Linked DNA regions of Coturnix japonica. The protein of the gene in region 1 purifies or fractionates together with the protein of each later gene. This does not show direct contact. Links are inferred from orthologs where the notes say so. Each region holds a gene or a part of one and is shown in the gene's direction. Other genes may lie near its edges.

The links. The genes of interacting proteins can lie anywhere in the genome.
Region 2: the proteins of NOP56 (region 1) and RPS2 purify together in Homo sapiens (affinity purification with mass spectrometry; 3 studies listed by BioGRID and IntAct, with this or other methods). This does not show direct contact. The link is inferred for Coturnix japonica from reciprocal best matches to the Homo sapiens genes NOP56 and RPS2.

Annotation. Positions count from the first base shown.
Region 1 is NW_015439533.1:244,112-248,283, reverse strand, and holds the end of NOP56 (nucleolar protein 56), read left to right. Parts: intron 1-13; coding exon 14-165; intron 166-394; coding exon 395-495; intron 496-783; coding exon 784-932; intron 933-1,026; exon of another isoform or gene 1,027-1,097; intron 1,098-1,191; coding exon 1,192-1,313; intron 1,314-1,384; exon of another isoform or gene 1,385-1,452; intron 1,453-1,526; coding exon 1,527-1,661; intron 1,662-1,875; coding exon 1,876-2,106; 3' UTR 2,107-2,502; downstream 2,503-4,172. UniProt on the Homo sapiens protein: Involved in the early to middle stages of 60S ribosomal subunit biogenesis. Required for the biogenesis of box C/D snoRNAs such U3, U8 and U14 snoRNAs. Part of the small subunit (SSU) processome, first precursor of the small eukaryotic ribosomal subunit.
Region 2 is NC_029529.1:6,100,329-6,106,241, reverse strand, and holds RPS2 (40S ribosomal protein S2), read left to right. Parts: upstream 1-2,062; 5' UTR 2,063-2,088; coding exon 2,089-2,244; intron 2,245-2,365; coding exon 2,366-2,455; intron 2,456-2,681; coding exon 2,682-2,789; intron 2,790-3,042; coding exon 3,043-3,216; intron 3,217-3,295; coding exon 3,296-3,455; intron 3,456-3,767; coding exon 3,768-3,859; intron 3,860-3,953; coding exon 3,954-4,034; 3' UTR 4,035-4,078; downstream 4,079-5,913. Other genes in the region: TBL3 (transducin beta-like protein 3), read right to left, coding at 1-41, 279-374, 459-510, 606-646; NDUFB10 (NADH dehydrogenase [ubiquinone] 1 beta subcomplex subunit 10), read right to left, coding at 4,620-4,720, 5,050-5,189.

The DNA of each region.
Region 1 (4,172 bases):
CGCTTTCATCCAGGGATGGACATTTCCCCCATCGACCTCATCAACATCGAGAGTTTCTCCAGCCGCGTCATCTCGCTGTCCGAGTACCGCAAGGGCCTGCAGGAATATCTGCGCTCCAAGATGAGCCAGGTGGCCCCCAGCCTCTCAGCGCTCATCGGGGAGGTGGTGAGTGCCATTTCCCTCCCTGCCCCCCCCCAGGCTGTGGAGGTGATGTCTGAGTGAATCTGTCAATCCACTGAGCCCTTGTGCTGACACCCCTCACTGCTGATCCCAGCCTGGCACCGTGTGCTGCTGCTCCCCCCATGGCTGCAGTGCTGTGGGGGCAGCCATAACCCCGTATATAACCCCGTGTCTAACCCCATTAACCCTGTATCTAACCCCTGTCCCCTCACAGGTGGGCGCCCGCCTCATCTCCCACGCCGGCAGCCTGACCAACCTGGCCAAGTACCCGGCCTCGACGGTGCAGATCCTGGGGGCGGAGAAGGCCCTGTTCAGGTACCGCTGCGGGGTGGTTGCAGTGATGGCGGCTCCCTGGGCCGCTGGCAGTGACGCACCGGGCAGCTCCGGCCTCGGTTGTGTGTGAGCTGCCAGCCCCAGCCCCTGAGCGACCACTGCGGCTCAGCAGCTCGTGCCCGCTGTGCTCGGCGAGGTCAGAGGGATGGGAGCGGGTGGGCGGCGTCCCCTGGGCGTTGCTGGGGGTTGGAGGGGGGAAGTGGGGGATAGCGGCTCCCATCTGGGGCACATCAGCCCCGGGCCGCCCTGACGGCTGGTTGGGCTTCTCAGGGCTCTGAAGACCCGCGGGAACACCCCCAAGTACGGCCTCATCTTCCACTCCACCTTCATCGGGCGCGCGGCCGCCAAGAACAAAGGGCGCATCTCCCGCTACCTGGCCAACAAGTGCACCATCGCATCCCGCATCGACTGCTTCTCAGGTGGGGGGGATGGGGGTGGGACGGGGCAGGGGATGGGGATGGGGGTGGGATGGGGAATGGGGGGTGGGATGGGATGGGGCAGGGGATGCGGCCTCTGCTGTGATGGGAAGATTTTTCGTCAACAGCATTTCACACAGTGAATGTTGATACGTCTGGGCTGAGCAGGGCGCTGCTGGGGGGCGCTGGGTGCTGGGCTGGGTGTGAGGAGGGGAGGGCTGCTGGGTGCAAGGAGAGCTGCTGAGCACGGCTGTCCCTGCAGAGGTTCCCACCAGCGTCTTTGGGGACAAACTGAGGGAGCAGGTGGAGGAACGGCTGGCGTTCTATGAGACCGGGGAGCCGCCCCGCAAGAACCTGGAGGTGATGAAGGAGGCCATGGTGGAGGTGAGGCTGTGGTGGAGGTGGGGCTGTGGTGGAGGTGGGGACGTGGGGGGGACGTGGGGCTGCTGGGCTGTTGGACATGATGTGAAGTTCCCACCTGACTCACTGTGGAGGCAAAAAGCTGATTTAATGAGGCTGATCCAACAGCTCTGGTGGAGGTTGGGGGGGGTTGTGTGGAGTCTGGCCCTGCACCCATTGCTCCTCTGCTCCCCGCAGGCCAGCGAGGTGGTGGCTGAGGTGAAAAGGAAGCAGGAAAAGAAGGAGAAGAAGAGGAGGAAGCGGGAGAAGCGGCGCCTGGAGGCTCTGGCTGCGGCAGCCGAGGAGCTGGAGAACTCGGTGCAGGACGTGGAGGTGAGGGGGAGGTTCTGAGTGTCCTGGGGGGGGGTTGGGGTGACCCCACTGCACTATGGTCACATCCAGGCTGCCCAGCAGTGGCTGCTGCTCCTGCCCTGGGGCTGGGGGTGCCCCAATGTGGGGGATGCCCCGTTGTGGGGGCTGCTGGGTTACATGGAACCAGCTGGTCTCTGTGCTCCGTGGGCTGCCCTCACCATGTGCCTTCCATTAGGAAAATAACATAGAGCCAAAGAAAAAGAAAAAGAAGAAGAAGGAGCAGGAGGAGGAAGAGGAGGAGGAGGAGGAGGCTGCTACCGAGCCAGAGCAGAATGGGCTGCAGGAGGAGGAGGAGGAAGAGGAGGAGGCCTTGCCCAAGAAGAAAAGGAAACTGATGGGAGATGGCACCCCAATGGAGAAGAAGAAGAAAAAGAAGAAGGTCAAGGATGAGGAGGAGCTGAGCTGAGCCGGGCTGCAACCCTGCACTGTGGACTCGGGGCTGCTGGGGGCAGCTGCAGCCCATCATCCAACCATCCATCCAGGCCCTGGGGGCCCAGCGCTGCAGCTCCGGGCGTTGGACTCTGGGCTCTGCCTCAATGGGGCTCTGCCTCCTTTGGCCCCATGGCTCCTGCGCTGCTGTGCTTCCTGCCTTCAGTCTCAGCCCCCGGGAGCGGCTGGTGCCAGGAACTGCCCCGTGTGACTGAGCCTCGGCAAATAAAGGGCTGGGGTCTCAATGAGCCTCGGTGAATAAAGGGCTGGGGTCTCAATGAGCCTCGGCAAATAAAGGGCTGGGGTCTCAATGAGCCTCGGCAAATAAAGGGCTGGGGTCTCAATGAGCCTCAGTCAATAAAGGGCTGCGGTTGCTCCTCCTGCTTTTTCCTCACGGCTCCTCATGGCTGCAGCCCCCCAGCGCTGCGCTGTGCCCGGTGCCCCGCTGTGTTATAACCGGTGCCCCATTGTTTCCCGGTACTGGAGCCGTATCCCGCTGTTACCGGGGGGGCTCAGGGCGCTGCATTGCGGGCAGGGACCGTCACGTTGCAGAGTCGCACTTTATTAGAGGGAAGCAATAAATTACCGGGCAGGTCGCGGGGCCCAGAGGGCGGGGATGGGCCCTACACGTCCAGGGACCCGATCACAGCCTGGGTGAAATCCATGGACGTGGCGTATCCACCCATGTCCGCTGTGCGAACCTGCAACGAAACGCAGCGTCAGTGACGGAAACCGCCCGGCGGCCGCTGCGTCCGGGGCTGGGGCCGGTCGGACGTTGCCGTGTCCTGGGCCGGGGTCGCTCCGGCCGTTGCTGTGTCCCGGTGTTGGCGGCTGCTCCGGCCGCTGTTGGTGCCGCTGTGCCCCGATGGCCGCAGCTCCCAGCCCGGCATTAGGAAGAGCCGCTGCTCCCAGGGCAGCGGGGCCGTGTCCCGCCGTGTCCCGCCGTGTCCCCGCCGCAGCCCGGCTCAGTCCCTGCCCGTTGCCGGGTCCCCGCGGTGCAGCCGGAGGCGGCGCTGTGCGGGATGCGGGGCTGGTTGGGGGCGGGGGGAGCGTTGGGGCCTTTATTCGCTCGCACAACACGAAGCGCCGTTAGTTGAACGTCCGGCCGCTCGCTCCGGGCCGGGCTCAAACCACGAGCTGCCGCAGCCGCGACCCCCCGCCCGGCCCGCAGCGCCCCGGGGCCGAGCGAGCACGGAGCAGCACGCAGCCATGCACACCATGCACACCATGCACACGGATGGCAGCACGGAGCCATGCACACCATGCACACGGACGGCAGCACGCAGCCATGCACACCATGCACACGGACGGCAGCACGCAGCCATGCACACCATGCACACGGATGGCAGCATGGAGCCATGCACGCCATGCACGCCATGCACACGGACGGCAGCACGCAGCCATGCACACCATGCATACAGATGGCAGCACGGAGCCATGCACACCATGCACGCCATGCACACGGATGGCAGCACGGAGCCATGCACACCATGCACACGGACGGCAGCACGCAGCCATGCACGCCATGCACACGGACGGCAGCACGCAGCCATGCACGCCATGCACACGGATGGCAGCACGGAGCCATGCACACCATGCACGCCATGCACACGGACGGCAGCACGGAGCCATGCACGCCATGCACACCATGCACACGGATGGCAGCACAGAGCATGCACACCATGCACACCAGCACACGGACGGCAGCACGCAGCCATGCACGCCATGCACGCCATGCACACGGAGGCAGCACGGAGCCAATGCACACCATGCACGCCATGCACACGGACGGCAGCACGGAGCCATGCACGACCATCACACCATGCACACGGATGGCAGCACGGAAGCCATGCACGCCATGCACACGGATGGCAGCACGGAAGCCATGCACGCCATGCACAACGGACGGCAGCACGGAGCCATGCACGCCATGCACACCATGCACACGGATGGCAGCACGGAGCCATGCACGCCATGCACGCCATGCACACGGATGGCAGCACGGAGCCATGCACGCCATGCACACGGATGACAGCACGGAGC
Region 2 (5,913 bases), on another chromosome or scaffold:
TCAGTGCTGAGTACAAACGAAGTGATGTCCTCCTGGTCATCCTTGAAAAACAATAAAAGAAAACCACAGTTACTCATCTCTGTGTTGCTTAGGCGTGCTCTCAAGCCTTCCCTTGCCACAGCTCCTACTAACCCACAGACCCACAATGACAGACAATGCAAACACCAGCCAGGTCTGCAGCTCTCAGCCCCCTCTATTTCCACTCCTGAGGGCTTCAAAACACCCCAGTCACAACCGCATCCCATGGAGCTGTGCTTAAGGCTCCCTGGCTCCCTCACCTGCTCGAGGCTGTGCAGCACAGCTCCCGTTTCCACATCGATCACGTTCAACTTGGTCCCGCAGGGGCAGAACATGAACTTCCCATCGCGGCTCAACTAGGAATCAAAGGATGGGGAGGTGAGAGCGGAGCGTGGGGGCGGCCCAGCCCCTTCTAGAGCCCGGCTGTAAGCGGCCATTACCTGAACCCGGCCTCCTTTGTAGAACGGCTCGATTTTCCTCGACACAGCATAACTGAAAGGGGGAATTAAAGAAATAGAAAGGAAATGAGATCGTTAAAGCGAAGACAGCGCAGCTCGGCCGCTCGCCCCAGCCCCAGCCCCGCTCACTTGCTCTTGAATCGCACCGCGCTGCCCGCCGCAGCCGCCATGACACCCCCCGCTCCGCGTGCAGGCCACTTCCGGGTTTTAAAGGGCGGGACTTCCGGCGCACTCTGATGACGTAAGAGCAGAGTAAGGAAGCGCCCTCCCTCAGTGTCACGTGGTACGGAGCTGCTTCTGTGTGTGTGTTGTGGTTAATGAATGGATGTTAACGAATGGACGGCGGATGGAGCAGCCTCCTGCCCGTCCTGGCTGTTTAACAGCACCATCCCACACCCTTCAGACCCCACACAGGGCTTGTGGACTGTAAGAAAGCACAACAGGACTCGAATAAGCGTTCAAACGAGTCAATCTTTATTGAAAGCACTCCGCTCCGTTGGTACGAGCGTTCTTTTATCCACATCCCGCACATTTTCTTAGTATTCCAACCCTAAATCATCATCCGCCCTTCACATGAAGGTGCTTTTGGTCCTATCTTCACATGGAGGATCCCAGCCGGGCTGTTCCACCTGCAGGAAGACTCGGAGCTCACACACGGTGCTCACACACAGCCCACATCACCCTACAATGCCGCCCCAGCCGCCCCTCATTGCCGTTATGGGAACACGGGTTTCACTGCCCACACACCGTCACCGTGGGCGATACGCTCTGCTGCTCCCTTTGCTGTCGGCACCGTTATCTCACCGGAGGCCACGGGAGACCAAAGGTGATTTTCAGACCGTGCCAAAGGCCCCTCATTCAGTACCCACCCCCTATCATAGTATCACAGTATCGTGCGGGTTGGAAGGGACCTTAGAGATCATCGAGTCCAACCCCCGGGATTCGAGCCTCTGTGTAGCAGAGCGGCACTTCTACCACCTGCGCCACAGGGGATTCGAACCCAGGGCCCCCAGTGTTGCAATCAGCACTGCCTACAGCCAGGCCCTCAACAAAGCCTGAACAGCTCTAAACGCCGCCAAAAGCCAAGAGAATCAAATAGAACCGAACGAGCTGCGCCCACCCACCCCCACGCAAACAACCCCACTCACTTACGTCCGAGCTCATTGGAGCGCAGCTCCACGTGTGCGCAGCTTTATATTCTGAGCCTACGCATGCGTAAGCTCGGCGCATGCGCACAGCTTCCGCCCGGCCCTCCCGCCCCGCACTCTGTATAAGTAAGCAGATCGCGCCCCCTTTGCGCTGTAGTGTATTCCGCATTCAGCGCGCGGGGTTGACACTTCAGAGAGGTGTTCTCGCGAGAACTTCCTGGGTATAAATACCTACCGGCGGTAAGTGGCGGCCTTCTACTATTGAAACACGTAAGTATGGCGGGCGATGGAATGGCGTCTGCGTGCGGCCTCCGCTCCATCCGCGCCCATCGGCGCCTCCTGCGGCTCGGGGCCGGCCGTACCTCTCCGGATGGATCCCGGCCGGGCTTTGCGGCCTCGCCGTGTGGTTATTTCGACCTGATGGTGGCGATGTTCTGACTAATTCACCTCTTTCTATACAGCAAATGGCGGACGACGCCGGTGCTGCGGGAGGAGCAGGAGCCGCCCGAGGGGGATTCAGGGGCGGCTTCGGGACCGGGCTGAGGGGCCGCGGGCGAGGCCGTGGAAGGGGCCGAGGGAGAGGACGGGGAGCCCGAGGGGGCAAAGCGGAGGATAAGGAAGTAAGTGGAAGCAGCAGGGCAGGGTTATGTCGGGCTGTGCCCTGTAGTGCTGCCATACAGCCCCCCCACCCCATAGGAGCTGCTGTAAAAGCCCTTTGTTGTTTACTGCTTTCTTTTGTAGTGGATTCCTGTCACCAAACTCGGTCGCCTGGTGAAGGATATGAAGATCAAGTCTCTGGAGGAGATCTATCTCTTCTCCCTTCCCATCAAGGTGAGATGCTGGGGATGCTCGGAGCTGGTGAGCAGCTTGTAGCAGGATCTGAACTGTAAAGCTGGCATTAGTTGCCTTATTTATTACTTACAAAGCTCAAGTTGAGCCACTTTGCTATTGATTTTACTCCGGTTTGTAGATAAGAGCAGCGAGATTTGTGTGTTTTTTCTGTGTTATTTGGATATTGCAGCTTAGCAATGTGTGATTAAATGGTTGAATCTTACAGGAGTCAGAGATCATCGATTTCTTCTTGGGGTCTTCTCTAAAAGATGAGGTGTTGAAGATCATGCCTGTCCAGAAACAGACTCGTGCTGGTCAACGTACCAGGTTTAAGGTAATTTTGTTATGTCTTTATTCTTCAGGGACATCCACAGCCTCTCTGTGCAGCCCATTGCATCACCCTACCAGACTCTGTAACTTCATAAGTTGTAGGAGCTACTTAATAGCTGCTTCATTGTAGTGTGCTGTAGCTGTTAAATATTAGTATGTGCTTCTGGTTATCTGTGATGAGATCCTGCTGAGTTGTTGTGCTGAGAGAGCTCTCCTGTATGGCAAAACCTCGGTTGAAAGCTTCCCTTTGATTTTAGGCTTTTGTTGCTATCGGAGACTACAACGGCCACGTTGGTCTGGGCGTTAAATGCTCTAAAGAAGTAGCTACAGCTATTCGCGGGGCCATCATTTTGGCTAAATTATCCATCGTCCCGGTGAGACGAGGATACTGGGGGAACAAGATCGGCAAACCTCACACTGTGCCTTGCAAGGTAAGAGCATCTCGCTGTGCATTGCATGTGAGTCACGTTGTGTGTGTGCTGTGGAAGCTGTAACCTGTTGTGTTTGTAGGTTACTGGGCGCTGTGGGTCTGTCCTGGTGCGTCTGATCCCAGCACCTCGAGGTACAGGCATCGTGTCTGCCCCTGTTCCTAAGAAGCTGCTGATGATGGCTGGAATTGATGACTGTTATACATCAGCCAGGGGCTGCACTGCCACGCTGGGCAACTTTGGTAAGTGTGAGGTTATTGTGTTGTAGTTCAGCTCTGTGTGTGTTGCTGTTTTCATTACTGAAAGGGAAGTAACTTAAACCCGTGTTAAATTGGAAGCTCCTCATCTCCCAATCTGCGCGGTTGCACTTTTGTGAAGTAGTGTAACTGTCGTATATGGAGAGAGAAAGGAAACTGAATTTTAAGAGTATAACACAGGGATCCTCTTCTGGTCTCTCTGTTCCCTCTGAAATTCTACACTTCTGGAGCTGTGTAAGTGTGTACAGGAGCTCATTTCTCTAACAGTGACGTGCAATGTTTAACTTGTTTCCATAGCTAAGGCCACCTTCGATGCCATCTCCAAGACATACAGTTACCTGACTCCTGACCTCTGGAAAGAGACTGTATTCACCAAATCTCCTTACCAGGTAAACATGCAGCTCTTCCTTCAGTGGGTTACGATGCTGAGAAGGTTATGACAGTGGTGTACATAAATGAAATGCTGTTTTTCTTTCTATCCAGGAGTTCACTGATCATCTGGCTAAGACCCACACCAGAGTCTCAGTGCAGAGAACCCAGGCAGCTGCTGTGGCAACTACTTAAAGTGGTTTTTGTACAAGACAATAAAGTGGACAGTGGACAAGAAATTGGTTTGATTGGATGCTTTGTGCGTTGGGCAGATCGGTTACATCTGTGCTTGGGATCTAAGTAGGCTCAGATCTGTGGGAAGCAGCCTGAACATCTGCTGGGTAGAATAGAATGTTTTACACTAACCCTTGTTAATCAGGTATTAAATCCTGAGCGGGGTTTGTAACTAAAAAGAGGGGAATATAATGTGCCTTTATACTCCTTTCACAGCACATTTACTCTGAGGGTGCTCCCTAATGATTTGTGGTAGTGGAGAAATCCAGCAGGGACACCCCCAGGGTTCCACAGCTCATATATATGGGTGCCTGGAGCTGACTTTGTTCAGAGGGTGGTAGCAGCCAACTGGAATGCAGAGCTGGAAAAGGAAGAATTCTAAGATTCTTTTACATACCTCTGCAAAGAATGAGTCTGTGCTAATGGATGGTACGGCAGATGTTTGGGTTTGCAAGTTTATTATAGAACATCACAGTTCACAGGTGTAACACAAGGATTTGAGAGAAGCACCAATGAGGGAGGTGCTAATTAATTCCATAACCGGATCTACTGAGACGCGTTTTCTTTTGCCTTCATTTCTTCTATCATCCTGTGCTTCTGCTTCATCAGACACTTCCTGGCATTTCCATGGACACCAAGATCACCATCTAAAAGGAAAAGTAATCATGGGGGTGTCTGAAAAGTAACACTCAGCTGCTAGGAGGAACTAGATCTGAGCCAGGTGAAGTCTGGCACTCAGGGCAGTGCAAGCTGCAGTGCTGAAATGCACTCAGCTTTGGGTACTGCGAGAGCATCAAATGCCTTTGTACTGTGCTTATTGAAATGTCATTGCCTGGGCTTAGTGGGTCCAGCACATCTGAGCCCAGATCTGCAGTGTCTGCCAAGAGGGAATTTTAGCACAAAGATGAGATCTTTGAGCTCTTCTTTCCCCGTGTGCTGTCACAGCTATAGTAGATGTGAAGGCTGCTGTACTCACATCTCTCCTGATAGGCTTTGGTGACCTGTGCAAGCAGCTCCGCCTCCTTAGCGCAGTTCTGAAACTGGTTTGGTCCTTCCCTGTGCTTGCACGCACCGAGCCTTTCCCGGATTATCTCCACGATCTGCTGATCCACCAACCTGTGTGGGAGACGGGAATCACAGAATTGTAGGGGTTGGAAGGGACCTCCAGAGATCATCGAGTCCAACCTCCTGCCAAAGCAGGCTCCTACACCACATCACACAGCTCGGCGTCCAGGTGGGTCTTAAATATCTCCAGAGAAGGAGACTCCACCACCTCCCTGTGCAGCCTGTTCCAGTGCTCCGTCACCCTCACTGTAAAGAAGTTCTTTGGCACATTCGTGCAGAACTTCCTATGCTGTACTTTCATCCCATTACCCCTAGTCCTGTCCCCACGTACTACTGAAAAGAGACCAGCCTCACCACTATGGCTCCCACACCTCAGGTATTTATAAACCTGGATCAAGTCCCCTCTCAGCCTTCTTTTCTCAAGGCTAAACAGACCCAGTTCCCTAAGTCTTCCTCATAGGGGAGATGCTCCAGGGCCTTCACCATCTTAGTGGCCATTTGCTGGACTCTTTCCAAGAGATCCCTGTCTTTTTTGTACTGGGGAGCCCAGAACTGGACACAATATTCCAGATGAGGGTAGGAATACAATTGCAGTGCATGGACTACGGAGGAGCAGAACAAAGGGGGTGATAACATATAGAAACACAGTGCTGCATGAAGCAGGCTGTGCAGGATGACACTAATACCAGCAAAGCAGGCTTGAGGGGAGAGCAGCGTTGTGTAAAGGGATGTAGGGACAGTGGCTGAGGTAACCATTCAATGCCCTAAAATCCAC